Linked DNA regions of Pelodiscus sinensis. The protein of the gene in region 1 interacts with the protein of each later gene in a pairwise test. Links are inferred from orthologs where the notes say so. Each region holds a gene or a part of one and is shown in the gene's direction. Other genes may lie near its edges. The genes, in order: USP47 and AP4M1.

Region 1 (16,204 bases):
ACAAGGTTTCAGGAAGGGGGCAGTGCAGGCTGCCTTCCTGTAGAGCCCCCATGAGAACTACTGTGCCCCCCTGACTTAGGAAAAGAATAAATAGGAGGATTGGAAATCAACCCGCCCAGTCTCACGTCCCCTAGGCAGGGAATGAGCCATCTACATTAGGCCCCAGCTGGAGTATCATGTCCAGTTCTGGGTGCCACATTTCAGGAAACATGGAGAAACTGGAGAAAGTCCAGAGAAGATCAACACAAATGATGAAAGGTCTAGAGAACATGAGATGTGAGGCAAGGCTGAAGAAATTGGCCTTGTTTACCTTGGAAAAGAGAAGACCAAAAAGGGACATGAGCTTTCAAGTATCTAAAAGAGTATCATAAGGAGGAGGAAGAAAAATTGTTCTGCTTGACCTCTGAGGTTAGAATGAGAAGCAATGGGCTTAAATTACAGCAAGGGAGGTTTAGGTTGGACATTAGGAAAAACTTCCTGCTTGTCAGGGTGGTTAAACACTGGAATAAATTGTCTAGTGAGATAGCTGAATCTCCATCATTGGAGATATTTAAGACCAAGTTAGACAGACACCTGTCAGGGATGAGCTAGGGCAACTCAACTTTGGAAGCCCCAGGGGCCACATGACCTGCAGAACATGCTGAGAGACTCAACTTAAGTGTGGTTGCATATGCAAGCAAATATATACAAATAGCTTCTCTCACGCTGACAGGAATGAAAACAAAGATTAAGGCAAGACTACACAACACACAGGGCCCCATTTAAGTCAGTTCTGCTGATATTAATAAAATGCAACATTTACCTGATAGCACTTTTCCTGAGCAATGACAGTCCAAGAATTTAACTACTAAAACACATATCAACAGAAGATCATTACACTGACTACATTTTTGTTTTGCTTCACACTCGCCGGCCACGTGTTGATCCCCACATAAACCCAAACTGCACCACGAAGCGCAAACTGGCCATGGGCAGCATACCAAGTTATTAATAAATATTTTGTAAACGTTTACCTTTTCTCTCTGCTGTCATGTCTCCCCTCCTTGCTCCATCATCTCCCCTGGTGCCTGCTGCCCCCCAACTCCTCACCCTCCTCGGCTGTCCTGACTCCTGCCCTTCTCACTGCCCTCAGCGACCTGCCCCACTCCACCAGCCCTTCTCTCCCTCCTCTGCCCACTCCTCCAGTATCCCCACTCTGATCATGTGAGCTACCCCTCTTCTAACACCTCCCTCTACACACCTGCCCTGTCTCTCTCCTCTGGTGCTGGTCCCTCCACTGCAGATATATGCCCTTCTACTTCACTCCCAGAATCCCCTGGCACCTGCACCTTCCCTTAGCCCTGCACCCTCCTGGTGCCTCCCCCTTCCATCACTGCCCCTGCTTCCTTTGCCCTCTTTTTCCCTGATGCCCACCCCCTCACCACTCTCTGCCCCATTCCTATCCTGCCCCGCTGTGTCCTCACATGACTTGCTCCATCCCCACCTTTCTCATGCCCACCCCTTCTTTCAAGCCTTCTCCTAGCACGTGCCATAGCATCTGCCTATCCTTGCCTTGTTTCAAGCGGCCTACTTTTCCCTTTAGCCCTGCATTCCTGCCAGCTTATATAAACCCAACTGATGGGGGTTATTTCACCCAGTTAGTCCCTCAGCTGTGTCTCTTCTCGGTCAATGGATACCCTCTGCCAACTGCCTGTCTTTCGGTCAGGTCCCAATTTATGTACACTAGTGGGGTTTGAGTGACAAGGTGCTGAGCCAACTTACGACTCAGCACATTCTGTTAACCAACTACATAATTTTACACTCTGTCCCTCAGTCTTACAAGAGTACTCAGTTACCCATTACTGCTCAGTCAGCACTCAATGCCTCTGAACTTGTGTTGAAAACTTTTTAACTGCAAATGAAGATAGACCCACTGTTCAGCACATTTTTTTAAGTGAGCTTAAACACTGTGTAGGTAAATGTCCTAGTGTAGACAATGTCCAGCATTGTTTTTATAGCTGGTGTCTTCCCCAAGACATTTTTTAAATATAAGCCAAAATAGTTTAGTCAGCTCCCAGAATTACAGTAAGGAAAATACATTGTTTTGCTCTTTTTTTTAAACATACTAATGTTTAATTGAGAAGAAGAAGCACTTCCATGCTTTTGAAAAAGGGATTAACATTTAGCAAACATTTAGTCTTTTGTTGCCTTGTTGCAAAACTGTCTACCATTGGCTCTATTGTAAGAAAAATTTAGACAGCAAATGCTCAATAGGGATGTTAGCTTGACAGCTAAATTCTCTGATGAGTCTATCTGTAGCGATCATGCTCCAGTGCAAAGATGGTGTCTCCAGGGAAGAGGACTTGTGTCTTTGGCCACTGGAGGAGAGGGGGTCAGGGTGTGTGAGTGGCTGATGGTCCTGACCTGGCAGCGCTGTCCCTGGGTGCAGGTGTTACCTCGAACATGCAGGCATGCCCGTGTGCCACGTGCAGCACTCCTGAGTATGTGTGTGTGGCCATGTCCCCAGCTTCCTTCTAGTGGTGGCTTGTGGTGGGAAGGTGTCCCACCCTGGTGTCAGGAGTGTGGGCGGCCTCCCCATACCCTGTGAGCAAGAGCCCAGGGGTGCTGTGGTGCAGCTGCCTGGGGCTGTGTGGCCCAGACTGATGCTGCACATGCATCCATGTGCACAGACTGCAGCGTGATCCCCAGGCTGAGAAGGCTGAGTGAAGAGCGCACCTCAGCCCGTCACTGCCTGCCACCTCCTCCCTGTGTCAGCTAACTAAGGTCACTCACCCGATGTTCCTTCCCCAGCCTTGGAGAATGCCTGGGACACGTCCAGGGGCGGAGTGGGGTATCGTCTCAAGTGTCAGTGTGGTGAGAGTGTTGGCTGCGTCGGGATCCTCCTCCTCCTCTGCACAACCGACTCTGCCCACCCTGGGTGGGTGACAACAGGCATGTCCAGCCATAAATCAACCACCAGGAGTAGGGAAGGGACTGCACCACCCCCCAGGATGTGGTGCAGGTCTTGATAATAGGGGCAGGAGTGGGGTTCTGCCCTGGAGAAGGAGTTGCACTCCCTTGCCCTGGCATATGCCTGTCAGAGTTCTTTGACTTTCATCTGGACCTGCTCCTGAGTCCGGACGTGGCCCTTTGAGGCTGGGCTGTCAGCCATGCGGCCATAGAATTCGGCACTGCACCATTTGTTGCGGAGATTCTGGAGGTTTTCCTCCTCCCCTCCCACCTCAATGAGGGCCAGGATCTCTGCCCCAGACCAGGATGGTGCGTGACTCTTTCAGCACCTAGCAGACTCCTGGGGAGCTGTCGGAGTGCTCCCTGGGAGTGGGAGAGGGCTCTTGGGTCACTCATGCTGACTCGATGTCGTGCTCTGGCAGCTGCGGTGTGGCTGAAGGCTATCAGGGCCAACTTCCTGCCCCAAACCCTTTCTCCTGTGTCTGCAACTTTAAGGGCTGCATGGGAAGATGATCTATAGAGTCCTGATGAATGTGGACAGAGGGGCCAACAAGCCATTTGTGGGATTTCCCGGAGGCCCGTTATTTCAAAATAGCTCCAGCTGCTGTGTGTACACATGCCCTGTTCCGAAATAGCTATTTTGGAATAGGCATTATTCCTTGTGGAATGACGTTTACAGAAGTCAGAATAAGCCATTTGTTATTTCGAAATAATAGAATTGCTGGGTAAATGCTCACATTGTTATTTTGAAATAACTGTGCTGTGTACACACACCCTAAATGAGGATGATAATGCCATAGGCATAATAGACTTTGCCCTTTCCTAATTTTGGAACATTTGACTTTATCATGTAATGTTCTTTTAACATAGTTTCTATGTGGGTGATACATAGCAGTGCTCAATGATATCACTCCTGGGGGAATTCTGTGCCGCTGCACAATGCAAAATTGTGCAGAAATTAATGTTTGGTGCACAGACTTTCTTTTTTCCCCACAAAGAAATGACTGTGGATATATTGGCACCATTAAGGGCTGTTGGAGCCCAGCTTGCTGACAGATATTTTGAAACAAATTACAAAAATATTTGAAACTGGTGTGATTATAAAAATTGTATAAAATTATACAATAAAATTTGCAGAAGTTTGCAAAAGTTTAAAATCTTGTTAGCAGAATTTTTAATACTTTGGTGCAGAATTCCATCCCAGGGCAGGATATTTAGGCTTTCACAATGTACTGTTTTACTAATAGTCCACCCTCAGCTTTGAAAGCAGCATAGGGTTAATTATTAGAGAAATGAGCCTGAGGCTGAGGTTTTGACACGTTTCTAAAGACAGAGGTGTCCAATTCCCATCAAATTTCAATGGGAATTGGGAATCTAACCACAGTAGAAACCTTTTGAAATCTCAGCCTACATTGTTGACCTCTTTTACGATAGCCATGCACAATTAAGATGTGACATAGCTTCGATGATTTTAACATTTTTAAAATTTCAGGGGTGAAAAGAAACAACCTAAAACTCTTTCAATAGAAGCTGCACCTGACTTATGACAGGACTCAATTAGATCCAGAATGTTAACACTGTATTTGGAATTTGTTTGTTTTTAGGTTGGTTGGTCAAAAAAGCTTTTCTAAGCATTAAATGAGCTCAGGACTGAATTAAGACTAGTAGGATGTCACTATGTGAAGACTGACAAATGCTTCAACATTGTGTTATTCATAACTAGACTGTCGAGGCAGAGTTTAAACACCTAGCATCTGAGATGTATATTTAAAAACTTAACTCTAACTTTTTTTTTCTTGTCTGAGATTACTAATTTAGTTCTGGCCTTATAAGCATCCTTATACAAGACAAGGTAAGGATGTGCTACCCTGAATCAGAGGTCTTATACTATATAGAACTGTGACTCTTTTAAGAACAATGAGTAACAAAAACTCTTTAAAAAAAAGACCTCAAGATCAACTGGAATAATTTAATTGCTATATTCTAGAGTCTTAAAGAGCAGACAACAAATTCCTGTTTGGATAACAACAAATGGCGGAGTCAATTATATTAATTCCATTAGCTGAGTTTCAACATACATAGGCTATTGCTAGATGCTCATAGTTATTTCTGTCAATAAATGGGGCCAACTGATAGAATGTATTTTAAAAGGATTACTGGGAATCCAATTGGGGCAGATTTGTGCTAGTTTTTGTATCCATATACTAAAATATATTATTTCACAATATGCAAGATTCTCATTCTTGAATGTCAGTTCCCTAGTTCATAATATGAAGAATTCCCCAAGCTCCAGAGGGTTTAATCTCAAAGGAAACAGGAACACCAGAGGCATTAATCAGCTGGCTATCTGAAGAAGTGGGCTGTGCTCAGGAAAGCTCATGATACCATCTACATGTTTTGTTAGTCTTTAAAGTGCTACCAAACCATTTGTTGTTTTTTAAGTTTAATCACAAAATGGTAGTCTCACACTACCCTCAGAAACTTCCAGACACTTCTTTCTTGACTATCTTTTATCAGGAGCTTCTCTCACTGTTCTAGCTCTTCAATCCAATCAGCACCTATCCTGCTCTTATTCTCTCTCTCTTTCTCTCTGTCTGGCTTCCAGTCTAGGCTAGTCCTTGCTTTTAATGACTCAGAGACTCTTTGGCCACTGGTCCAAAAACATTAAGTTTTCAATTTGCACAAATCCTGAAGATATGATCTACAACCCATCCTGGACAATGATCCTTGACTCTCACACACCTTGGGAGGCAGGCCAGTCCTCATCCACAGACAACTCGCCAACCTGAAGCATATTCTCACCAGCAACTATACACCACACCACAGTAACTAATTCCTGCAACAAACCTCGGTGCCAAATCTGCCCACATATCTACACCAGTGACACTATCACAGGACCTAAGCATATCAGCCACACCATCACGGGCTTGTTCACCTGCACATCTACCAATGTAATATATGCCATCATGTGCCAGCAATGCCCCTCTGCCATATACATCAGCCAAACTGGACAGTCCCTACGTAAAACAATAAACAGACACAAATCAGATATCAGGAATGATAATATACAAAAGCCTATAGGAGAACACTTCAATCTCCCTGGATACACAATAGGGGATGTAAAAGTAGCTGTCCTGAAACAAAAAAACTTTAAAAACAGACTTCAAAGAGAAACTGCAGAGCTACAATTCATCTGCAAATTTGACATTATCATTTTAGGATTAAACAAAGACTGTGAATGGCTAACGAACTACAAAAGCAGTTTCTCCTCTCTTGGGCTATGTCTACATTGCAAACTTCTTGCGCAAGACCTGTTTTGCGCAAGAACTCTTGCACAAAAGGTCTTGTGCAAGAGCGCATCCACACTGGTCAAAATGCATTGCATAAGCCATGCGCTTTTGCGCAAGAGAGCATCCATACTGGTGGGAAGCTCTTGCGCAAAGATTTGCCCCCAGAACTACTTTGGAGAGGGCAAAAGGGCACCAAGGCTTTCCGGGGGCGGGGGCTGGAGCTCTTTTGAGATGCATGCTTAAAGGGATCTCCATGGACAGCCATTTCTCTCCTGCTGTGTGCTTTGGGACCTCTTGTAGGGACTGAAAGCTGCAGCAGTGCTAGTTGTGGTTGCCCTCTGCCTCTTTGGACACCACACCTTATGGCCTAGTGCCTTTGGCAACTTTTGCCTTGTGTTTGCTGTGCCATGGAGCCAGGGATGGCCCTGTGCTTGCTCTGCCCCACATGGCCATTTTGGAGTGTGGGCAGATGCTGCTCCATGCTGCCTTGCTACTTCCCGGGGGAAGGGAAGACTCCAGGCTGGGGGGGGGGGGGGGGGAGGAGGGAGTGGGGGAAGCCCCGTCACCCAGGGGCTTGTCCATCCCTCCCTCACACATGCCTGCTGGTATGGGGGGGGCCTCTGGGGCGAGGGGGCCCTGGTGTGTTTGGGGGCAGAGAGCATCACAGAGGTGTGAACATCCCCCAAGGGCTGATGCACCTACCCTGCCTCATTTGGTGCATTCCCTGTGTTTCTGTGTGCCCTTCTGCAGGTTGTCCATGCCATCAGTGATATCCTGCTCAAGAGGGTCATCCACCTGCGGGACGTGGATGCAGCTGTGGCTGTCTTCTCTGCCCTGGGGTTCCCCAACTGTGGGGGAGCTGTGGATGGGACCCACATCCCCATCAGTGCCCCAGAGCATTGAGTGGCCCATTTCATAAACTATAAGGGGTACTTCTCCATGGTACTCCAGGCCCTTGTGACCACAGTGGTCGCTTCACAGACATCTATAGACATCTATAACTGCCTCTGAGGATATGGGAAAGTCAGTGGATGTGATATACCTTGACTTTACCAAAGCTTTTTATACGATCTCCCACAATATTCTTGTCAGCAAGTTAAGGGAGTATGGATTGGATAAATGTATTGTAAGATGGATCTGTTCTTGGACTGGTTTTATTCAGTATCTTTATTAATGACCTGATGAGGGGATGGACTGCACCCTCAACAAGTATGCAGATGACACTAAGCTAGGGGGAGAGGTAGATACGCTGGAGGGCAGGGATAGGGTCCAGAGTGACCTGGACAGATTAGAGGATTGGGCCAAAAGAAATCTGATGAGGTTCAACAAAGACAAGTGTAGAGTCCTGCACTTGGGACGGAAGAATCCCAAGCATGGTTACAGGCTGGAGACTGAATGGCTAAGTAGTAGTTCTGCAGAAAAGGATCTGGGGATTAAAGTGAATGAGAAGCTGGATACGAGTCAACAGTGTGCCCTTGTAGCCAAGAAGGCTAATGGCATATTAGGGTGCATTAGGAGGAGCATTGCCAGCAGATCCAGAGAAGTGATAATTCCCCTTTATTCGGCTCTGGTGCAGCCACGTCTGGAACATTGTGAGAGGGTCCAGCGGAGGGCGACCAAAATCATTAGGGGGCTGGAGCGCATGACCTATGAGGAGAGGCTGAGGGATTTGGGTTTGTTTAGACTGCAGAAGAGAAGAGTGAGGGGGGATTTGATAGCAGCCTTCAACTTCCTGAAGGGAGGTTGCAAAGAGGATGGAGGAAGGTTGTTCACAATAGTGACCGATGGCAGAACAAGGAGCAATGGTCTCAAGTTACAGTGGGAGAGGTCTAGGTTGGATATTAGGAAAAACTATTTCACTAGGAGGGTGGTGAAACACTGGGGTGGGTTATGTACGGAAGTGGTGGAATCTCCATCCTTAGAGGTTTTTAAATCTCGGTTTGACAAAGTCCTGGCTGGGTTGATTTAGTTGGGATTGGTCCTGCATTGGGCAGGGGGCTGGACTTGATGACTGTCTGAAGTCTATTCCAGCTCTATGATTCTAATCATTTGTGGACAAAATGTTCTGATCTTGTTTGCCTTGAGCATCTAAAATCACCATCAAGGTCAATGGAGTAAAGCAGATGGAGTTATGGGAGCACAAATAATTCAGGAATAATAGTCCTCCCACAGAATTAATTTATTTTAAATGGTTACTATGTATTTCGTAACAGACACAGGACAACGAAAACTGTCTAAGTAGTGAGGCAGGGAGGATAAAGCTGGCATGTAAATGTAACAAAGAGGAAGTAATACAGGGATATTAACTTGGGCGTAGGACTCAAAGCAGTTGCTATTCAACTCATGAGGCTAGTTGGGCACAAGGTTCCCTGCCCCAAAGCAGCAAGCCTGTCCTCCGCAGAGGCGCCAAATACACGCGGCAGCGCGTTATATCTTGGCCCTGCAAGCCGCACACGCTGGCTTGAACGGCACGTGGCGCTCTCTGAGAGACCAGTCTTGCGCTAGAAGGTACAAAAAGCCCTTCAGGCTGGGGGGGGGGCGCCGCCGCGCAAGGACACAGGCATCCAGCCTCGCACACGGCGCCCCTCAGCTCAAGGGGCGGGCGGGCGGGCGCAAGAAGGCTGCTGAGAACAGCATGAGAGTAGCGATACCCAAGCACTTTACCCTTCCGTTGCACTTCTACCCCGTCACGCGGGCGCGTGTTACGTAAGTCACGTGAGCACCCCCAGCCCTGGAGGCAGGTTTCTAAAACGCGGCGCTTTAAGTCCCTCCCTCCGGTAAGGGGCGAGAGCGGGCTGCGGCACGCGCCCTGGCCAAATTGTCTCGCGAGGCTTACGGGCGGCCATTTTCTCATTGGCTGGCGTTGGTGGAGGGTGGGGGGACCGCGCGTTGCCCTCGCGGAGGTGGGGTGTTAGTGCTGGGCACTGCGGGGGGAGGATGAGCCACTCACGTCCCTTCGCCGCCTCCGGCCTCCGCTGACGACTCCGGGGCCCAGCGCCGCGCGCCCGCCATGGTGCCCAGTGAGGAGAATCGGCTCGTGCCCAAAGAGGTGGGGCCCGTGCGGGGCAGGGGGGAGGCTCCTGACAAGCACGCCGCGGGAAGCCTCGTTCCGGGTCGGGCCCGAGGTGGTGCGGCGGGGCCTCTCTCTCATGAGCGGCGGCCGGCAGGGAGTCCCAGTTGGCGTGTGAGACCGGAGCGCGCGTGGGTCCCAGAGGGGGCTGGGGCTGGGCTCTGCTGTCCAAGTGCGAATGGCGGGCGGGCGGGCGGGCGGGGGCGGTTGCGGCAGGCCCCTGCCCATGTTCCGGCATGCGGGTTTCTGCGGGGAGCGGGGCCGGTGGCGGCCGCTGTTTGCGCGAGCCCGGCGGAGGCCTTGTTTTTGTGGGGTCTGGGTGAACGGGGTGCCCTCGGCGTGTGTAAAGGAGGAAGAGGCGAAGCCTGGGCAGGGAGGCCCCTTGTCTGACGGGAGCGGGGAGATGTGAAAGGGTCATCCTGGCTCTGTGGCTCCTGGGAGCCTGGGGTATTGGGCGGGCGGGTGCTAGACGGTGCATGCCTGTACGAAGTTAGCTGGACACCCCTTAACGAGCTGTGTAGGAAGAGAAATTGTCCTCACGACTCTTGAGTGGAGAGCAGGTCCTTGTCTGTGGGCTTTGAAGGAGTTGGGGTTGTATGAGGGATTCGGTCTGAGACTCTTGAGGAGGGGAGAAGCTCTTTGAGTGAAGAAGGGGTGGAGACTGGAGGGAAGAGGTTTGGAGAGCGTGGGCTCACGTGTGGATTTCAGAGGAGGCTATATAACCTCTATGATGTTATCTGACGATGGTGGAGAAGGACAGGAGTGTTCATGGTGGGCTGGGGTCCTGAGAAGAGAATTGGTTTTGTAGCCCATGGTGTTCCTGTTTGCAGGAAAAGGTTGCTATCGCTTTAGCAGTGGGGAGGGAAGGAAATGGTGTCTGTAAGAGGTTAAGGATGAGGGACAGAGTGTAGGGGAATGGCACCTTTGCCCTTTTGCCCTGATATGTTCTTATGTAAAGTTTGTGTCAAAAATATTGTTCAAGATTGAAAGAGGAGGGGAACAGATTTTAAATGATGAACAAAGTGATAGTAATGCTCTTTTTAAGGAATTAACGTTAAGATTTTCAGCAAATTCTTTTGAGAATTGTGGATCTAGCAGGAAAATTAATACGCTCCATAATTTTTTAGTGATTTTACATTTTTGTATTAATAAATGTTACTTAGCTTTCCAACCTGGATTTACTTCTCTCAGTCTGTTCTGTCTTGTTACATATCTAGATTATGTACCTGTCGTCTTATTACTGGTTTGTACAGTACTTGTCATTTTGAGACCTTAATTCCAGAAAACGACTGTACTACAGCTAGGGATATGTGACTAGTTGACTATAAGATAATCAAAAGCTTGACTAGTTGCTTCTCCCCTCTACTCCCCTGCTCTTCTCTCCCCCCCCCCCTTGCTGCCTCTCAGAGCTGGCTTAAAAACTGGTTCCCCCAACACTATCTCTGGGGGGTGGGGAGGGCAGGGGAGTAGGCAGGAGCTGGGAATCAGCTGATTTCTGGCTCACATCCAGTACCAGATGCTGCACCTCTGCTTTTTAAATGTGATAACAGACTGTTGGCTCTTAGTTTGTTTAAAAATCAGAAGCACAGCCAGGGGTGACCTGCATGAGCTGGGACAGCTGATTCCCAGCTCCACTGGGTCCTGCTCTTAATACATGTAAAATGATAAAGTGCAGGGTAGGGAAGGGAACCCAGCGCGAGCAGGGAATTAGCTGTCCCAGCTAGTGCTGGGTCCCTCCTCTGCTCCCCCCCACTGTGCTGATTTTTAAATGTATTAAGAGCTGGCAGGCTTGAAATATATTTAAAAAGCAAAGGCACAGTGGGGTTAACTCCTCAGGTGTGGCTGGCTCCCTTGCTTATCAACTAATTGATGGAAAATCCATCAACCAGTTGATTAAACCAAATTTAACATCCCTAAGTATAGCTGTTCCTAAGTTTTATAGACATGTAAATAGATATTGTGAGTGTGTGGGAGCAGTACTGTATCATAAGTGAAGGATATATAATAAAATAAGATAGAAAGCTGTATTTTGGAGACACATTTCTAAAACTTAAAATTAAAGTATTTGGATTAAAAAACACACAAAAACACCACCACAAGGCAGAAGGGGGTATAGTCAGTGCAGGTGGGTGGAAAATAGAAAATAGAGACATACAGGAGAAGCCAGTTGCACTTGTGGTGGTAACAGAAATAAAGAGGTGGAGTAGTCCTGTGACACCTATATAGGGTCATGAGCTTGTGTGGATAAAACCCACTTCAACAGAAGAATCTTATTGTGGCCATTCCTTACGGGTGTTTTCATAGAATCATAGAACTGGAAGAGACCTCAGAAGGTCATCAAGTCCAGTCCCCTGCTCTAGGCAGGACCAATCCCAACTTAATCAACCCAGCCAAGGCTTTGTCAAGCCAAGACTTAAACACCTCTAGGGATGGAGACTCCACTACTTCCCTAGGTAACCCTTTCTAGTGCTTCACCACCCTCCTAGTGAAATAGTTTTTCCTAATGTCCAACCTGGACCTCTCCCACCACAACTTGAGACCATTGCTCCTTGTTCTACCATCTGTCACTACTGAGAACAGCCTCTCTCCATCCTCTTTGGAACCTCCCTTCAGGAAGTTGAAGGCTGCTATCAAATCCCCCCTCACTCTTCGCTTCTGCAGACTAAACAGACCCAAATCTCTTAGCCTCCCCTCATAAGTCATATGCTCCAGCCCCCTAATCATTTTGGTTGCCCTCCGCTGGACCCTCTCCAATGCGTCCACATCCTTTTTGTAGTGGGGGGCCCAGAACTGGACACAATACTCCAGATATGGCCTCACCAAAGCCGAATAAAGGGGAATAATGACATCTCTGGATCTGCTGGCAATGCTCCTCTAATGCAACCTAATATGCCATTAGCCTTCTTGGCTACAAGGGCACACTGTTGACTCGTATCCAGCTTCTCATCCACTGTAACCCCCAGGTCCTTTTCTGCAGAACTACTACTTAACCGGTTAGTCCCCAGCTTGTAACTATGCTTGGGATTCTTCCGTCCCAAGTGCAGGACTCTACACTTGTCCTTGTTGAAACTCATCAGATTTCTTGTGGCCCAGTCCTCCAATTTGTCTAAGTCATTCTGGACCTTATCTCTGCCCTTAAGCGTATCTACCTCTCCCCCCAGCTTAGTGTCATCCGCAAACTTGCTGAGGGGGCAATCCATCCCCTCATCCAGATCATTAATAAAGATATTGAACAAAACCGGTCCTAGAACCGAACCTTGGGGCACTCTGCTAAAAACTGACCGCCATCCTGACATCGAGCCATTGATCATTACCTGCTGGGCCCAGCCTTCTAGCCAGCTTTCTATCCATCTTACCGTCCATTTATCCAATCCACATTCCCTTAACTTGCTGGCAAGAATATTGTGGGAGACCGTATCAAAAGCCTTGCTAAAGTCAAGGAATATCACATCCACTGACTTCCCATGTCCACCGAGCCAGTTACCTCATCATAGAAGCTAATCAGATTGGTCAGGCATGACTTGCCCTTTGTGAATCCATGCTAACTATTCCTAATTACTTTCCTCTCATCCAAGTGCCTCAAAAGGGATTCCTTAAGGATCCCTTCCATGATTTTTCCAGGAACCAAGGTAAGACTGACCGGCCTATAGTTCCCTGGATCGTCCTTCTTCCCTTTTTTGAAGATGGGCACTACATTTGCCTTTTTCCAATCATCCGGGATTTCTCCCGATCTCCACGACTTTTCAAAGATGATAGCCAAAGGCTCCTCAATGACATTTGCCAACTCTCTCAGTACCCTCGGATGCACTAAGTCCAGACCCATGGATTTATGTACGTTTAGCTTTTCTAACTAGTTCCTAACCTGTTCTTTACCCACCATGGGCTGTCCATCTTCATCCCATCTTGCGTCACTTAGCACAGCAGTCCAGGAGCCGACCTTCTCCGTGAATTAAGTACTTGAGCTTTCCCCACATCATCTGTCACTAGGTTACCTCCTTCATCCGCACACAGTCTCTGATCACCTTCTTCTTGTTAACATGCCTGTAGAAACCTTTCATGTTATCCTTCACATCCTTAGCCAGTCGCAATTCCATTTGCGCTTTCGCCTTCCTGATAACCCCCTGGCATTCTCGAGCTATACCTTTAAACTGCTCCCTGGTCATTTGTCCAAGTTTCCACTTTTTGTAAGCTTCCTTTTTGTGCTTAAGGTTCACCAAGGATTTCCCCTGTAAGCCAATCTGGTATCCTACCATGTTTGCCTCTCTTGCTACGCGTCGGGATGGTTTCTTTCTGTGCCTTCAGTAAGGCTTCTTTAAAATACTGCCAGCTGTCCTGGACTCCTTTCCCCTTTATGTTAACATCCCAGGGGATTCTGCTCATCAGATCTCTGAGGGAGTCAAAATCTGCTTTTTTCAAGTCCAAGGTGTGTATTTTACTACTCTCTTTTCTTCCTTTGGTCAGGATCCTGAAATCTACCATCTCATGATCACTGCTTCCCAGGTTGTCACCCACGTCCACTTCCCCTATTAGTTCCTCCCTGTTTGTGAGCAGAAGGTCAAGCTGTGCACGGCCCCTGGTCGGATCCTTCAGCACTTGTGTCAAGAAGTTATCACCAATATTCTCCAAAAACTTCCTGGATTGCCTGTGTACTGCCGCATAAGTTTCCCAACAGATGTCAGGGTGATTAAAGTTCCCCATGAGAACCAGGGCCTGCGATCTGGAAGCTTCGCTCAGTTGTCTGAAGAAAGCCTCATCTACCTCATCCACCTGATTCGGTGACCTGTAGCAGACACCAACCACAACATCACTGCTGTTGTTTGCTCCTTTAAACTTAACCCATAGACTCTCAACAGGTTTTTCTCCTTGTTTATACTGGAGTTCAGAGCAATCGTAGTACTCTCTTACATACAATGAAACTCCTCCCCCTTTTTTGGGTCAGGGGCCACAGAAAAATCAGTTGGGGACCACACAAGTGAGAAGCAAAAGAAATCCCTCTAAACCACCCTAACCCTCACTGATGTGGCCCCCAACTGTGATGCTTCACTCCTCTGGTGCTCCAGTCCCATGATGGGGGAGGGTTAGGGAGGACTGAGGTTCAGGGTCTCAGATCCGATTTACTCTTCTGGAGTTCCAGGGTTAGTGGCTATAGTGGGCCCCCCCAAGGCTCTGGAGTGGTGCAAAAAATGAGGGGTTAAGTGTGTGGGACAGGGCTGCCATTGAATGGGATAGAGATAGAGGTTCAGGATCTGGGCAGGAGGTGGGGTATAGGAGGGGTGTGGTCTGGGTGGGATATAGGTTGCAGGAGTAGGCTGGGAGTAGGGTGTCTGGCCAAGGGGAATGAGTAAGGGGGGGGTGCAGGATCTGGGCATGAAGGTTGGGGAGGCCACTTACTTGCTTTTGTGCTGTGTGGAACACGGCCTCCCCCTGCTGCCATGAGCTGGAAGGAAGCCGCCAGTGTTTCCTGGGGGGAAAAATGATAGCGTGCATGGAGCTATTTTTGGTTCCTGGTTTTCCACATGCCAGGGGAAGAAAAAGCAGCACACGGAGGCATTTTTTGCACCACTTGTTTCTCACCTGCTGGATCTGGCAGGAAGGCTCCCCTGCTGGAAGCTGGTGCTGGCATTTTAGTCTTGCAGAGGTGGCCAGGGGGTGGGAGGAGAGATTAAGGCTGTAGTGCCAGTGCTGGCTTCATGCTGTGGTGAAAGCTGCTGGGGCTCCAGAAGAGCCATGGCCTGCTCCCTAGTGAGACAAACGTGGCTTGCCAGCCATAGGTTGCCAACCCCTGGTATAGAAGAATGTGGATTTGGAGTTTGTATGTGTGGGAGAACTGTTAGTCCCTGTGTGCCCAGTGTGTTTTATTTATATTATTTCTGTCCAAATTTGTGGAATACTTTATAATACTGGTAGAGGATATCTGATCAGTGTAACTTGATCTAAAATACATGTGTGTTAAGATTTTGCTTTACATGTGCTGCCTCTTTTTTACTACCTACTAGCTTGGGGTGGCCAACCAGTTAGAGATGAAGAGCCAAAATAGTGGTGGATAGAGTGCAAAGAGCGATGTATATATTTATTTTTATATATCGATATAGTACACAAAATGTAGTGATAAAAATAACATTACAGGATATTTCAGACAAAAACTAAAGTCTAATTGCTTCAGCCTAGCAAACAATAGCCTTTGAATTTTCTTTAAAGAAACAGTGAAAACCAGGTACATGCTGATTCTTTTTTTTTTTTTTTTTTTTTTTTTTGCCCTGGAGTTTAAATGACATCTGTGTTGGCTGCCTTGTTCTGCATCCATGAAGACTTTGAGTTTAAAGTGCTTCAGCCTCTCCCTCCTCCCCCACTCTAACCCAGTCCTGCTCCTCTCCCCCAGAACTAGGCACCCTCAGCCCCCCTGCTCTAACCCAATCCTCCTCCCCTCTCCCAGAGCCGGGCATGCTTCCCCCCCCCCACACTAACCTAATGCCTGGGTCCCAGAGCTGCTGATGCTGCTGCGGCCACAGCCACTTGCACTTCTCCCTCCAGGCACTGGGGTACGTGCTCAGAGTGGCCGGCCGTGAGCAGTCCAGGCGTGTGGTTCAGAACCAGCAGGAGCTGCATTTCTTTAATAAAAGATCCGCGTGCGGCTCAAGAGCCACGGATTCTTGGAAGAATGTGTAGAATGAAGGATCAAGCAGAGGGCAAACAGACCTTGCTTCTCCCCCTCCGGCAGGCCTATGTGAGCAATCTCACTCTCCTCCTTCCTTCACCTGGGCTGGCTCTGCCTCCTGCCTGAGCAGGAGGGCCTAAACAATGGAAGGATGCTATAGCCTTATTAGTGTAATGATTAATCCTGTCCCTGTGCAATTTCAGTTTATAAAACTAGCCACACTCTTCATTCAGTGGTACT
Region 2 (15,728 bases), on another chromosome or scaffold:
GAGCTAGCAAAATGTGGGGAAGATATAAAAATCATGCAGGAGGGTTCTCTCCAAAGCTGCCTGCAATGAGCTACAAAGGGATCTCACAAAACCAATATGAAATTCAAGGGCGAGCAATGCAAAGTAACAGATTCCTAATGATATACAGGGCCTAAAGAGTCTAAATAAGCAGTTACCACTCCACTCCTGTTACCACAGCACATCTGAGCCAAGGAAGGGGTGCAGCCAGGTGACACCTTTTGCCAGGGGAACAAAAGGCAAAGGAAGGCATGCGGTCAGGCTGTTAGGTTGGGGCTGTCAGTCTCAGTTGGCTTGGGATAGGGATCAGCACCATTGGCTGAGCCCACTCGCCCCAAGACAGATTGTATGGGCTGCTTCTGGTTCCTGTGCAGTAGTATCACCCTGCATAGTTCTCCACAAACAAGTTTAGAGTCCTGGGATGCCATGAGAAAAGGGAGAGCAAGACAGTAACAGACTCCCACTGATATCCTCCCTTCGTCATCTCTTCTAAATTAGCAGTTCCAGTTATTTAATCTATCATATGGAAGCTGTTCCATCCCCCTGATCATTTGTCACCCTTCTAGGTACTTTCCAATTCTAATGTTTCTTTTTTAGATGGTGCAGGTGTTCCATGGACTTAAACGGGCATTATAATATTGTCTTATCTATCCCTTTCCTAGTGATTCCTAACATTGTTAGCTGGTGTATTTCGCTCCGAGCTGAGCCCAGAGGCAGAAGGAAGAAGTGAGATGCCCATGCCCACACCCCACACTTAGCCTCAGGGGAATATCCTACAGCCCAGGCCAGCAGTTGGTTGCTCAGCTCTAGGCCCCTGTGCAGGGAGCAATTTCCTCACATCACTATCCCTCTCTGCAAACAAACCCCCTCCATGCATGGCTAGGACAGCGAGGACTTGCAGTCACTTTGCTCTGTTGCATGTGAGTTCTACTGTTCGATCATAACCCAGTTGCTGGGACACTGAACCAATGCCTAGATGGGGAAGCTAACCTAGCTCCAACCTGTCCGAGCCCAGTAGGGCCTTTTGCCACGAGAACAAAAGACAGATAAGATTCTTAGCCCCCACCTACCAGGCTGGTCCCTAAGTCAGACTCAGTTACCTTGAGGTACAGAGATAGGGGCAGAGCCCTTGGCTCTGAGCCCCCTCTCCCCAGGATGGATCATGCTGGCTGCTTCTAGTTCCTGTGCTGACAAGTCTGCTCCACACTGTGTCCCTGCTGCCTCAAACCACCTCTTGTAGCCACCAGCTGAGTCTCACATCTGGCTGCAGATGGTGACTCCCTACGCTTCAGTGATGGGTGGCAGCAGTGGGATGCACTGCACCCCATAGACCGAGCATCAGGCATTAAATGACTAGGGCAGAGTAGAACAAAGAGGGACAAGCAAGAGCCAGGTGCACTGAAGGCCAGTGAGGTGCAATCCCAGGGGTGGAGGAACCTGCAGCTTAACTTGAGCATGTGGTCCTCAAGAAGGGGGTCACACCCAAGGAAGGGTTCTTTGTGGGGACAACCAGAATTGGGCCCAGAAGTCACAGTTGACTGGATAGGGGTACAAGGCCTGCTGGCTGCCCACCCTTTGGCAGCACAAAGCGCTGTTTGCCTAAGGCTCCACCGTGCAGAAGGGTTGGGCTCAGCCACTAGCAGGGAGATGGGTGATGGGGCAGCAGAGCAGGGCCCATTGAGTTCGCAGCCCCTCCCAGTGGAGCTCACAGGACGTAAGGCGTAGGGTGTCCCCAGGGACGGGGGAGAGACAGCAGCAAGGCCCCTGCTCTGCCTGCCCCTCCCCTCCATCAGTCACGCTGTATCACAAACCGCTTTATTGGCAAGGTAAAAGCTCAAAGTGTTGCACAGACAGGAGGCCCCTGGGCACGTTGTGGCCCAGAACTATGCCTGCGGGTTGTGCACCGTGCCAGGGATGCAGCTGGCCAGGCCGAGCGCCCAGCACTGCCAGTTCAGATAAAGGTGATGCGGGTGCGGGCCTGGTTCACCTGCCAGACATTGAGCTCCTCATACTCGTCCAGCGCAGCCTGAAACTGGGCAGGAGTGAAGCCCCTGGAGATGCAGCGCTGTTCCGCCTCAGCATAGGGCACTGCATGCCTGCCTGCCCCGCCCGCCAGCTCCCGCACCGCCGCAAAGATCAGGTCAGCAGGCCGCTGAGTCCTAGGGGGGTGAGGAGAAGGATCAGTGCTGCCTCAAGCCCACACTGTCCTCAGGGAAGCCCCCCCCAACACCATGCCAGAACCTGGTACTTCCATATCTATTGATCCTGCCCATAGCCCCAGTGTCAGTCACAAAAAGTGCTCCTCCAACATGATGCTCCCATCCCATCCTGCCAACAGATCCCAGGCCAGCCCCTAGGAACTGCCCCCATGCTGCAAGGTACCCCACACTGCTGTCTTGGGGCAGGGGGAACCACCAGAACATGCCCCACATCTCAAAGCACCTGCCCACCAGCAGGAAGCGGGGCCATGTGAGGAGCCCTGCCCTGCTAGCATGTGGGGCCCAAGATCCAGGCCCCCTGCCTCACCTGGCTTGCTGGCCCCTGTCACCGAGTAGTGAGTCCTTAGACATCTCCATGAGCCGCATGGCCTCGTTCACATCCTCCTTCTCCACCACATCCACCAGCCTCAGCCGGGCCTGCAGAGGGCAGCAGGGGAGGGTCAGGGCAAGGCACCAGCTGCGCCCCTGAGCCAGGGCCTGCCCCTTCCTGATGCCCGACCCATCAAACAGGCACTAGCAACCCTTGTGACCCTGTCTGCCACACCAGCCCATACAACACCCCTTCCTACCCACCCCCCATCACTCAGCCCGACGAGGCTGCATCCCCACTGCCCTGCTATGGGACAAACCATACAGCAGCCTGTGGGCCTGGATCTACCACAAGGGGACAGGTGTCCTCATCACAGGGCTCAAGAAGCACTAACTTGGCAGCGGACGACTGAATTTGGAACCTAAGCGAACAGCACTTGGCAGCCTCCAGGCCTGGCTAGCAACAGGCAGAGCAGTTCCTGCTTGGGCCAGCCCCTGTACACTGCACACTCTGTCCCCACCCGCAGCCAGAAGGCCCAGCCCCGCAGGCAGCACCCAGATGCCAGCTACCTGTACTGTGAGCACTTTAGCCTTGCAGCCCCCCCGCCCGTCCCCATCCAGGCAGCCGCTCACCAAGGCGCTAGCCAGGCGCAGGATGCCCAGCAGCGTGCGGGCCGACGTGTAGGTAGTGTCTTTGCTGGCCCAGGCCTCCTTGCGCATCTCCACATAGGCAGCTGTGATGTAATCGGCGAGCGCCTCTGGCACAGCTGGCTGCTTCCGCTTGCACATGTTGATGTAGCGCCTGGGGAAGGGGAGTCATATGTGGTGGGGGGGGGGGGAAATCTGTCTCCCAGGCAGAATACTTGGGGCAAACATGGCTCCCAGCCCTCTGCCAGAGCCAAGGAGAGAACCCAGGAGTCCTGGCTCCCAGCCCCCTTCTCTAACCCACCAACCACTATTCTCTTCCCAGAGCTATGGAGAGAACCCAGGTATGTGGGCTCCCAGCTGCCTCTTCTGTCCCCAGGCCAGGTGAGCACTTACCTCATGAGCTTCATGTCCAGCTGCTGGAAGGCGCAGGGCGGCTGGCGGCTGTGCTGGTGCACGTAGGTGATGTGCTGGGCTAGGCTGCAGGGGTGAGAGGCATCAGTGCCGCTGCCTTGGGCCCACCCCCGTCCCTGCCCAGCACCCATCCAGTTCTCACCGCAGGTCGTTGTCACGGTCGGGCCGGTCCTGGATGAGCCAGAGCAGGTCAAAGCGGGAGAGCAGGGCGGCCGGGAGCTGCACGTTCTGCTCCAGGCTGCGGCGAGGGTTGTAGCGCCCATAGGCGGGGTTGGCAGCAGCCAGGATGGCGCAGCGGGCATTGAGGGTCGCCAGCACGCCTGCCTTGGCAATGGAGATGCTCTGCTGCTCCATCACCTCGTGAATGGCTGTACGGTCACTCTCCAGCATCTTGTCAAATTCGTCAATGCAGCACACGCCCTGGTCGGCCAGTACCAGTGCCCCGCCCTCCAGGGCCAATTCGCCAGTCACTGGGTCCCGCAGCACGGCTGCGGTCAGCCCCACGCCAGATGAGCCCCGCCCCGTGGTGTACTGGCCTGCAAGGAGGGGCAGTCAGAAGGGTGCCCCATCGGGAGGGGCAGGCAGTAGGGTACTGACCAGGGGAGAAGGGTAGTCAGGGGGATACCCTAACCCTGGGGAGAAAGGGGGCACATGGCACTACATGGGATAGTAACCCAGGAGGAGATAGGGACCCGCCTACTCTTACCCTCCCAGTTGCCAGACTGCCCCTGGAGGATGCACATGCTAGGCCCCTCAGAAGGTGCTACTCACTACGGGGTGCCAGGCGATCAATATAAGAAAGCAGCTGGGACTTGGCCACACCGGGGTCTCCCATCAAGCAGATGTTAATGTTCCCTGGAAGCAGACAGATCAGCATCAGAGACCTCTCCCAAGCCTGACCCCCCACCCCCTACCACTCCAGCCTCTCCCCAACTTACCACGAATCTTCATGCCACGGGGGTTACGGTCCACACCCCCCACCAGCAGCAGCAGCAGCGCCTTCTTCACATCCTCATGCCCATAAATCTCAGGGGCGATGGAGGCAGCCAGCTTCTCGTAGAAATCCTCCTCTGCAGCAGGAAGGATATCAGTGGGGCTACGGAGCCTGAATGTAGCCCTGGCTCCATCCCACACTCACCGGGGCTCAAGTGAGGAGGTGAGCCAGCTGGCAGGGTGGACAGGGGAGGTCAGCAGGGACCAAGGTACCACTTTTATCAGCTGCTCTGCAATTAGCATGCCCGGAGAGTTGGCAGGAGGTGCTGCAGGGCTGGGATGGAGGAGGGCTATGGGGGGAGTCCCAGTGCAACAAAGTGGGGATTTTATTCCCCTCATTATGTTGCATCTGATTTCTACTGTCCTATAGTAACCCCGTGCGAGTGCCTCAGTTTCTCAAGATGACAACTTTGGGTGTGACTTCCATTCAGAGAAGCTCCCTCAGCCTCCTGCAGGTACATTGTGGCACAAGCGCTTTATGATTTGAGCCACAGGGCAGGGTTTGACCACATGACACCATTTGCCAGTGAGCGCAGAGGGGTCTGGCTGGGGCACTGGCTGGAGGGTCGGGGCAGGGCTCTTGATCTGAGGCCCCTCTCCCCAGGATGGATGGTGCTGGCCATTTCTGGTTCCTGTGCTGACAAGTCTGTGTCCCTGTCGACTAATAAACCTCTTCTAGCTGCCAGTGGAGAGTCGCGGATGGGGGTGCAGGGCCTCCCTCACACCTCAGTGATACCCAGCTGCCCTGCATTTGGCTGGCCGCCGCAGGCCATGGGGGGGGAGGGGGTGTCACAGCTGCCCCAGGATGGCTGGGGTGGGAGCAGATGAGGCAGGTCGGGGGGAGATGGAGGGAATCACCTGTGATTTGGCGCAGCTCATCCTCTGTCAGCTCCTCTGCCCCCAGCTCATCCTCCTCGCTCTTGTTCATTTTCGCAATGTGATGTGCCTCCAGGTAGGTCTCAGAGAGCAGCCCCTAGAGGGAACAGGGGTGTCACTCCATGGGCCCTGCCCACCAAGCCCCACCACCACTTTCATTAACCCCACACCCCTCACCTGGGCCATCTGCCGGAAACCGGTTCTCAGCAGGGGCAGGAAGACACCAGTGATGCTGACGTGGTCGCCAGGCTGAGCCAGCCGTGTGTTCTCGCCATGCACAGTCACGCTGATTGAGCGGGGGAGATGCCCCACAGGCACCTGGTCACTCTGTATGAGAAAGATACACATTGGCCCTGATCTAGCCACCCCTCGAGACCAGCCCCTGCTCTAGCAGAAAGCCCCCATGATGACGTGGTGGATTGATGGTGGTTTCAGTGGGGTTGCATGCGGGGAAATGGAAGCACTCCGTGTCCCTGGCTATTACTGGTTCAATGGAGGGTGAGGGGGGTGGGGGAAAGAAAAGGAGAGTTTGTTGTTCCAGGGACCAGCACAGAACTGGAGACCCCACCGACTGGTGACCAGGAGACCCAGCTTGGCTGGCACAGCTGGGCCAGGGCCAGTGAGAGGCCAATGGGCTGTGGGGAGAGGAGCCCAGTGACTTATACAGCTGGTCCCAGCCAGGGGGACAAAGGATGGAGGAGAGGGCAGGCAGGGAAGGGTGGGCGGGGGGACAGGCAACCCTGGTTACCTGGGCAGAAGACAGAGGCCAAGGGAGGGGCTGCTGGGGAGGGATTTGGGGGGGCTGGGCTGGAAGGAGGGGGCTGCTGAACTGGGCAGGGGGAGCAGGCAGAGCCCACCTGGCTGCAGGGGAGACTCAGACGTGTTGGGCTGAGGGGGCCAGGCCTACAGGCCTGAAGTTCCTGTGCTGGGTTCAGTGCTCAATGAACCCTCCTGTGTGACGCTGGCGGAGAGTCACTCCGGTCTGAGAACAGGGCTGCACTAGCCCCCCTGCGAGTGTAGGTCCTGGGGTCCAGATAAATGCTGGGGGCTCAGAGAGGTGAGGTCCCAGTAGGGCTGGAGACTGCCCCGGCCGGAATGGAGCAGTTTCCTCACCCAGAATCTAAGATGTGGGTTTGTTACAGGCCATCATATCACAGGCCGGGTGTGAGGCCTAAGGCCCAGACACAACCGTTAAGACTTTGCTAATATAAAATGAAGACAAGCTGCGAGCAAGAGGCAGGCCTTGCTCACAGAAGTTGACAAGAACAGAGCTAATACTGCAAAACACTACTAGGCAAAAGCTCTAAGCACGTTCAAGTGTGGTCACAACAGAACACCTTGTTAAGAAATATCTCGATACCAGCCCCCTCCCCACAAACAACAGGAATACTGACTCACTCAGGACCACCAGCATAATAGATAGTAATTGAATGAGATAAAGGGTGGTAGCTAAGCTACAGGAGGTGGCAACCTGATACATCAAGAGTGATGTGGAATGTGTTTGTACCTGCATATAAAAGTGAATCCCAAAGAGTTGTCTTTGTCTGACCTAGGGAGAAGTGTCTCATCCCTGGCACTGTCCACTATAATGGGCATACATGTGTTAGCCTCACTGCAGGCTCTTTGGTCCAGGGAAGCTAGGACTGTGCCTCATCTACAACAAACCTGGCCAGGCACCTTGGATCCTTATCTGATTTTGTGGTCTTTGGGGGCAATCAGTCTGCTGCGTTGACTAATTGTGTGAGATCTATACAGTAAACAGAGGGAGCAAATGCACTAACGCATGCAGCCGAACAGTTATCAATGAAAAAACAGGAGACCTGTCAGCATGCCACATCCCTAGGTCCTAGGAGACAGAGCGGCTTAACTCCCAAGGAAAGTGGATTCCCAAGAAGGGTCTATTGCACTGGAGGGGTTCCCCTGAGGACTATACAGTCCAAGCTTGGGCGTAACCTACAAATCTGTGACAACCTCATAACCAAATGGGAGGGCTGTCATCAGGAGCACCCAGATCGGTCTTTGGGATCCCCAAACTCATCCCTCCCATTTGCCCCCCACTCACATGCTCCTGCATCTTTAGCTCCTGGAACTTGATGAACTTGGAGCCACGGCTCTGCAGATAGAGACGCCCCCCGGAGCGGTTGGTCTGGCACTCCTGGCTCGGGCACATGATCAGCGGCATGAAGGTTGGGGCCTGGATCTGCAGGGGTGGGAAGAGGGTCTGAATCAACCAGCCACCCCTCTCCACCACACCTAACCAGGGAACACAGCTGCTCCCTCGTGCCCAGCTGGGGGCATGACAAAGTAGGGACGTTCGTCATTTGCTGATCTCAATAAGTCTCAGTTTCCCCATGTTTCCTAGCTGCCCAGTAAAGGAAGGGCAACAAATGTGTTCTGAGGACCAAGTAACTGACATGGGTGCTGAAGGAGCTGGATGAAATAGACCTCAACCCACCAGGGGCCCACAAGACAAGGTGCAGTCGAGTGACTAGAGATCTCGTCACCCCTCGGCAGGGAAGCAAGCAGAGACCCCAGCTACAGAACACAGGCCAAGAAAGCGTGAGGTAGGGATCTAAAATCCCAGCTAATCGGTTAAATGGTTAAGCATTAGATTAACCTAGTTGGTTAACCACGTAAACATTAAGCGGGATCTCACCACTCCAGCCCCCACACTAGGGCTGGCTCTGCCAGGGCAGGAGGGGCATGTCCCCCCCCCCGCTCCCGACTTCCCAGGCTGTGTTGACTGCCTGGGCGCCGTAGTGAACAGGCTCCTGCAGGGCGAGACAAGACTCTCCCAGGTGTAAACCTGTTTCACTGGCTGACTGGAGCACAGGGTGGGACTAGTCTCTGGAGACATAAGTCCATGTGGCTGGCTCAAGAAACACCTAGGGGGTCTGTCACATCAATGGGGTCCCTGGCACAACAGAGGGGTATAGTCCTGTGGACTGGTGACAACAGCTCAGCCATTCATCAAATTAAATTCATAGGTAGCAGGCTTAAAACAATCCAAAGGAAATATTTCCACGCACAACACAAAGTCAACCTGTGGACCTCTTTGCCAGAGGTTATGTCCAACACTATAACACGGTTCAAACAGCTAAATAAATTCATGGAGAACAGGTCCATCGATGGCTATGAGGCAGGATGGGCAAGAATGGTGTTCCTAGCTTGTGTGCCAGAAGCTGGGAATGGATCATCACTGAATGGTTACCTGTTCTGTTCATTCCCTCTGAAGCACCCGCTTTGGCCACTGATAAAAAACAGGCTAGTGGTCTAGATGGACCTTTAGACTGACCCAGTATGGTTGGTCTTATTTTCAGCCCTGAGCTGACAGCCAGCCGGCAGGACAGCTCAGCCCAGCCCCTTCCACTCACTGGCTGGTAGGTCTCCGCTCCACACTGATCACAGCTGTAAGTAGCCACCACCATCATGGGCTTGACCTCAGTGACACGGGTGACGATGCCGCGCACGGTGACCAGTTTGCCAATGCAGTCGGCTTTCACGTCCCGGATCACGCGGGCCTTGGAGCTTGACGGTGCCTTGAAGTAGAGCTCACTGGAACAGAAGAGAAGGCCCACGAGTTAGAGCCATAGCAGGGGCCAGGGGGAGGAGAACCTGGTTGGGGGCAGGGGAGATTTAAAAGAGCCAGGAATAACAGGACCCCCACACCTCCCCTCACATGCACTCACAAGCGGCGCAGCAGCTCTGGGGGGTACTGGTTTTGGGGTCTGCGTGTCTCTGCTGTATCGTGGCCACGCTGCTCCAGCATCAGCCGGTGCTCAATGTACACGTCCAGGGCATCCTTGTGCACTACCTGGAGTGGGTAAACAGGGACTCTGTCAAGGTGCCTCAGCCACTCTCCCAAAGCTCCTTCCACCCACCAGTATCCCTCCTCCCTCACCACCCCTCTCCTTTACCTCATGCTGCCTGTGAAGGGGTAGCAGCTCGTGCACAGCGTCGGCAAAGAGGCGGGTGTAGCGCTTTGCATTCTCGCACACAGCATCCACTAACTCAGGGTCCTCCTCTGCCAGATCATCCAGCTCCACATACAGAGCCACCTGCTCCCTCTGAGCCAGGGCTACCTGCGGGGCAAGCACAGGTTGAGCAGCTGGGGGTGAGGCCCGGAGCCGCCAGAAGTGGGAAACATGGGTGCAGAGGGAAGTAGGGATGATAAATATCAGTTAATTGAATAGTTGGGTAAGCTCATGAATTCTTATCGCTTAGTCAACCATTCTCTAACCCCAGCCTCACTCCCGAGAAGCCCCCGCCACTCCACACGGCTGCTGTATCAGCGGTAGCTTTGTGGGGTGCCAGGTGGGAGCTGGTCCATAAGACGAGCCAGCGCCCCTCACGACTGGCTTCCTGTCGCTCTATGCTGCTGCCGCTGCTAAGGCAGTTGCGCCCCTGCGCAGGAGGAGGGCTGAGCGGAAGGGAGCCGGGCTGCCCGCCCACCCCGCTCCTAATACACTTCGCAGCGCCTCAGCGGGGGCAGGCCCTGGACCCAGCGCAAGCCAGGACTGAGCCGGGCCGCCCTGCTCGAAAATGCGCTGGGAGGGGAGGGGCAGCGCGCAGCCGGCGGCTGTTGCTTCTGGCGCTCGGCGCAGCGCCCCAGGGCGAGGGGGGACGTTGAGTCTCACCAGCCGGTCCCGGTAGGGGAACTCCTTGCCATGCGGGCCGGGGCGGCAGAACTGCTCCAGGAAACGCTGCACCTTCCCTGGGGGGGGGGGGGGGGGGAGAGTGTCAGTCCAGCCCTGCCCCCAGCGCGGCCCCGACCCTCCGCCCCCCCGTCCCGGCCGCGCGGCAGTAACCACCTTTCTCCGCCGCGTAGTCCTTGGGCGCCATGGCGGGGACGGGGCCTACGGGTCGCCGCCGGAGTCAGCGCAGGCCGCTCCCGACCGACCCCTCCTCAGGTTCCTCCCGGCTGTCGCCACAAGCAAAAGTGGCGCGAAACCAGAACCATACCACGTGTCTGGCCCCGGCCAATCAGGACCTGGTCCCACCCCGGGGCCACGTGATCCGCCCAGCCCGCAAATCGGCGCTCGGGCCGAGCTGAGCCTGTAAGCCCCGCCCTCACGGCTCCATCACGTGACAGCAAAGTCCCCTCGCAACAGCCGGGTTCGAGCAGAGCCGGTGAGATTCCCCCAGGCCCCGCCTCCTCTTAAGGGAGCCGCGAAGTCGGGGAGAAGAGGGAGGTAATGGGCGGGGGGCGCAGGGTGAGCCGGTAGCAGGGGCTGGGATTCGAAATGAGAGCGGGGTTTCCTGGCAGGGGCGGAGGGTGTCGGGCAGGGGACGGGGTTTCCGGGAGGGGGCGGGGCCAGGTTTCAGGGCAGGGCCCCACTCACGCTCTCTTTCCCCCCACCCCAGGCCTCCGAGATGCTGTCTCAGATTTTCATTCTCTCCTCCAAGGGAGACAGACTCGTCTACAAGGACCGTATCCTACCCTGCCCTGCGGGCTCCCCAAACACCGTCCTAGCACCCCGGACTCCTCCACGTCCCCCAGCTCCCCAAATGAGGGATGTTAGCATACAGTTGTGTAAGCGATTAACCGATAAGCCTGGCTTTATCGGTAAGTCCTAACAACTACACACCCTCCCCCCGCTTGCCCTCTTTCGATCTGGATCCCATAGAACCCCCCGCCCCACACCCCAAGGTGAAGCGAGAGCCGATATGCACAGGGGGCTGCCTTTTAAGCTCCCTGCATGTGCTGGCTTCGTGGAGCTGCCTTGCCCTCTTGCTGCCTCCCACAAACACAGAGGCAGCAGCATGGAGTGGCAGGGAGCTCCCTGGGAGTGGGACCAGAAGCACACTGGCTGCACTCCAGGGACTATCGAATAATTGTGTAACCACCAAGATTTGGTGTGGTTACATGGTTATTAAACATCTAACATCCCTACACCAAATCCTCCTGCCTCTAGTGCTCTGGACCCCTCCAAGGCCATCTCCCCAAATACCCTGATATAGCCCCCTAGACCTCCCCCTTCCAAATGCCCCCTTGCATAGCTCCTCAAGTGTCCCATGCAGATCATCTTGGCCCCCGGGGGAACCCCAACTGGGCACCACCTCCACATCTGGCTTTCTAACTGGGCACTACGGGGGGAGAGGGGGAGCTCTCAACCATACTGCCCAGATGGGATGATTTCTCTTTAACCCCCTCCCAGTGCGTGGTGAGGCAGCAGGGAGCAGCATGGACCTGACGGACACTTTCTATAGGAAGATCACAGCCCTGCCTAGGGACCAGGCACCTGTCTTTATGGTAAAGGGGTGGGTTCCACAGCTCTGCAGTAATGTGGGGGCATCACTATAGGGATGAAGCATCTCTACGATAACAGAAGTGGAGAGCATCTGGGCAAGTATGTGGGAGAGAGGGGTACCCCCTGGTGAGGGAGAGGGTCCATATAACTCTGCTTGTGTTTCCGCTACAGGTGCATGAGGGGCTGCACTTCGTCCACGTGCGTCACGCCGGCCTCTACTTCGTGGCTACGACAGGGCACAATATCTCCCCTTTCACCATCATTGAGTTTCTCAACCGGTGAGAGGGGCAGGTGTAACCCCAGGGCACAGGGGGTAGACAGGGATATGGTGGAGCTCAGAGGATGGGGACACACAGCGGGAGGGGATGCACTGAGCCAACCCTGCCCTCACCTGTCTCTCTCCTTTCCCACAGGCTGGTGACGCTGATCCATGATTATTGTGGTGCTCTCAGTGAGAAAACCATTAGCCTCAACTTCGCCCTCATCTATGAGATGTTGGACGAAATGCTGGTAGGCAAGCACTGCTGAGGAGCACCTTACCTGGGGCACTGCTGCAGGGAAGCTTGCAGCTCTAATCTCCTGTGCCAGTGGCAGGGGCACAGGTGGGCTCTCCCCCTCACTCTGTACTCTCCCCCCATAGGACTATGGCTATGTCCAGACCACAGCACCTGATGTATTGCGCAACTTCATCCAGATGGAGCCAGTGCTCAGCAAGGCCTTCAGCCTGCTGGACCTGGGCAGTGTTGGCCTGGTGAGTCCAGTTTTCCCCCCCCTCCCACTGTCGGCCTGGTGAGTCCAGTTCCCCCCCAGTGTCCAGGCAACATCTGACCTGTGAGCCCCTTAAAAACACCATGCTCGCCCAGTGAACGTCCCCAAATCCCCTGCTCCCCCAGTGCTGCCTGGGCAGTGTTGGCTTAGCGAATCTAGCCCCTGAACCATCCCATGTCTCCTTCCCACCAGCACTCTTTGGGCAGTGTCAACTTGGTGAGCTCCGTCACCAAATCTCCCAGTGTCCTGTGGGCAGCTTTTCCTGGATCTGGGCCCCTGGGTAGCATCAGCCTGGTGAACTTGGCCCCCCAGATTTCCCCCCACCCCCATGTTTCCTCCCCTTCAGCACCTTCCCAGGCAGCATCAGCCTAGAGAACTCCCCCAAATCCCACCCGTGTCCCCACCTCCCACTGTGCCCTCCCAGGCAGCAACAGCCTGGTGAGTCCCAAATCCCCACTGCATCCCCTGGGCAATGTCGCCCTGATAAACCCAGCCCCAAATCCCCCCAGCCCCCACCCCCGGTCAATGGCCTGATGATGCCACTCTAAGCTCCGATCTCCTCTCTCCCAGCACCCCTGAATAGCAGCAGCCTCACGAGCCCTCCAAATTCCTCCCCGCCCCCCCATATTCCCTCAGCCCCCTTAGCCATCGGCTCCTCTGGGGAAAATGTTACCCTGAGAGAGATCCGGTCATGGGGTACCTAGTATCCCCAACCCCAACCCCTGGGAGCCCATCAAGGCACCATCCCTGGGCCCTACTCCGACCTTCTCCCCTTTGGTTTCAGTTTGGTGCGGAGACACAGCAAAGTAAAGTGGCTCCGAGCTCAGCCACCAGCCGCCCTGTTCTGCCCCCCCATGGGGACCAGGTGAGACACCCCCAGCAGTATGTTGTCCCCCCCCTTCCTGCTCTAGCATGGAGCGGGCCCCTCTGTCTGGGATGGAGAGGGCCTGCTGGCAGCAGTCACATGAGCACTGGCTATCTCCCTGCAGGGTGCGAGGAACGAGGTGTTTTTGGACATAGTGGAGAGGCTGACAGTCGTCATTGCTGCCAATGTGAGTCAGAGAGGGGAAGGTGTGAGCCGGGGGTTTTGCATCCTGACACACAGCCCCTCCATCAATTTACAGGGTCAGAGCAAAGGCTGAGCTTCTAACCAGGCCCAGGGCGGGGATCCCTTCAACCCCCTAAGGCACAAAATTTAGCCCCACAGCTTCCCCACCACAGAGCCTGAGCAGCCCTCCCATCGTGCACCGCCTCCCAAGGGAACCTGCTCCGACCCGTGTCATTGTCTGGGCCTCACCCCATGTTCTCCCCAGGGTACCCCCATGAAGGTCGACATCCAGGGAGAAATCCGCCTCAAGAGCTATTTGCCTAGCTGTCCCGGTGAGTAATGGCTGCAGCCCCACAGCCTGAAGCAGCTCACGTGGGCCAGACCCTGGTGTTTCATTGCTGAGTAGATATACCCATTGTGAGCGGGAGAAAGCAGGGCTGGGGGCAACGGCGACTGGCCCCGGCCTGGGCAGCTCTCCCCTGGCTGAGTCCCTTAATACTCTCTCCCCTCCCTGTAGAGATGCGCATTGGGCTGACAGAAGAGTTCTGTGTGGGGAAGTCGGAGTTGCGAGGTGAGTAGCCACTGCCAGTCTCTATTCCGCCTCACAGGGCCCCCTCATTCTGACTCCCCGACCTTTGCTCACTGCAGGCTACGGCACCGCTGTTCGCGTGGACGAATGCGCCTTCCACAGCTCCGTTAAGCTTGATGAGTTTGAGAGTGCCCGTGTCCTAAAGGTCAACCCCAGCCAAGGGGAGGTGAGCCCTGTGCATAGCAGCTGGGCCTCTGCTCCTGGTGCAAGACCATGGGACGCCCAGTCTGGCCCCATCCATCTGTGCCTTCAGCTCCACCAACCTGACCACATCGAACACGAGCTGGCCGAGTACACGACCTGCACTCTGCAATTTCAAAAGCCTCAGCCCTCTAGCCAAGTCTCACACGCTGTGTATGAATCAACAAACCCCTTCTGGGATACACATCTACCGGGGCCCAACTCTGTGCCCTCCGTGGAGCTCCTCTGAGTCTATTCCCCACTCAGAGAGAAGGGTGCCCCCAGGGGTTTCCTTCCTGGAGGCAGCATCTCTGCCCTTCCCTCATGGCTTTATCTCAGAGTCCTCAGTAGTTCTCCACACGGAGCTGTCCGCAGTGCTGCTGCTCTTTCAGCCAGCCAATCTCCCCGTCGGCATACCTTGAAGGCTCCAGAAACATGAACTGCTGCCTGGCTTCTTGCCTTTTGGTTCTGCCATACGTTGCCCCAAAAGGCCTCCAGGAGGGGACCTTGGGGCCTGATCCACCCTGTCACGCTACATCTCTGCTCCCCCAGGATCCTGTTCCCTCACCTCTTTGAGTGACACACTAACAGCCTCTCTCCCCAGCTCCCAGTGACACTATTTGCCTGACCCTGTCTCGGCTCCCCCAGCTGATGGGGTATGTCTGGACTGCGTTGCTCTTTCAGGATACCAGCAGAATCCCGAAACAGCAATGACACGTTTTTAAAAGCACCTGCTATTCCAGTGTCCCCATAACCCTCGTTTCAAATTTCAAAAAAAGCTCTTTCGATTTAGACTTGGAATAAGCGAGGCAATCTGCAAATTGTGAAGCTTATTCCAACAGACGGGTGCTGTCTAGGGTGATATACCACAAGCCTAATCCACTGTCTGCTCCCCCAGCTTCCAGTGATGCAGTACCAGCTCTCAGACGACATCCCCTCAGCCCTGCCCTTCCACCTCTTCCCCATGCTGGAGCGAGACCCCTTGGGCAGGTGAGTAAGGGCTGCAGCCTCTCAGCCCGGTCCTAGCAGCTGCCGACTCTCACCGTTCCCATCTCCCTGCAGGCTCTGTGTCTACCTCAAGCTCCGCTGTGACCTGGCTCCCAAAAGGTAGGAGCCCCACAAGGGGAGAGACCCCCTGGGAGTGGGGTGGAGCCACATGCTCACTGGTTCAGGTACAAAATGGGTCCCTGCCCTCTATTGATCCCCGCTGCTCTGAGTCTGGGGTCCCAGGCCGGAAAGATGCTGCCACATGTCCACCCTGCCCTACTGGCCCCTCTTCACTGCTTGCTCTTGCCTCCAGCCAGGCCCTGAACGTGCGAGTCCAGCTGCCAGTGCCAAAGGGGGTCATCAGGTGGGTGATGCAGGCTTCTTTCTAGTACAAAGGGGGTAGCTTTGGGGCAGCCCTTTCCCCAGCAGCT

Evidence for each region.
Region 2: the proteins of USP47 (region 1) and AP4M1 interact in binary tests that used the Homo sapiens proteins (3 or more experiments, as listed by UniProt). The two-hybrid records come from large-scale screens. The link is inferred for Pelodiscus sinensis from reciprocal best matches to the Homo sapiens genes USP47 and AP4M1.

Annotation. Positions count from the first base shown.
Region 1 is NC_134714.1:103,009,818-103,026,021, reverse strand, and holds the start of USP47 (ubiquitin carboxyl-terminal hydrolase 47), read left to right. Parts: upstream 1-9,104; 5' UTR 9,105-9,249; coding exon 9,250-9,288; intron 9,289-16,204. UniProt on the Homo sapiens protein: Ubiquitin-specific protease that specifically deubiquitinates monoubiquitinated DNA polymerase beta (POLB), stabilizing POLB thereby playing a role in base-excision repair (BER). Acts as a regulator of cell growth and genome integrity.
Region 2 is NC_134734.1:7,468,060-7,483,787, forward strand, and holds the start of AP4M1 (AP-4 complex subunit mu-1), read left to right. Parts: upstream 1-10,539; 5' UTR 10,540-10,666; intron 10,667-10,838; 5' UTR 10,839-10,847; coding exon 10,848-10,905; intron 10,906-11,632; coding exon 11,633-11,727; intron 11,728-11,896; coding exon 11,897-12,003; intron 12,004-12,138; coding exon 12,139-12,235; intron 12,236-12,365; coding exon 12,366-12,476; intron 12,477-13,277; coding exon 13,278-13,358; intron 13,359-13,482; coding exon 13,483-13,545; intron 13,546-13,806; coding exon 13,807-13,873; intron 13,874-14,058; coding exon 14,059-14,112; intron 14,113-14,189; coding exon 14,190-14,296; intron 14,297-15,208; coding exon 15,209-15,300; intron 15,301-15,372; coding exon 15,373-15,417; intron 15,418-15,610; coding exon 15,611-15,661; intron 15,662-15,728. Other genes in the region: DNA replication licensing factor MCM7, read right to left, coding at 1,970-2,177, 2,545-2,654, 3,180-3,348, 3,588-3,671, 3,748-4,141, 4,377-4,460, 4,544-4,675, 5,457-5,571 and 7 more. UniProt on the Homo sapiens protein: Component of the adaptor protein complex 4 (AP-4). Adaptor protein complexes are vesicle coat components involved both in vesicle formation and cargo selection. They control the vesicular transport of proteins in different trafficking pathways.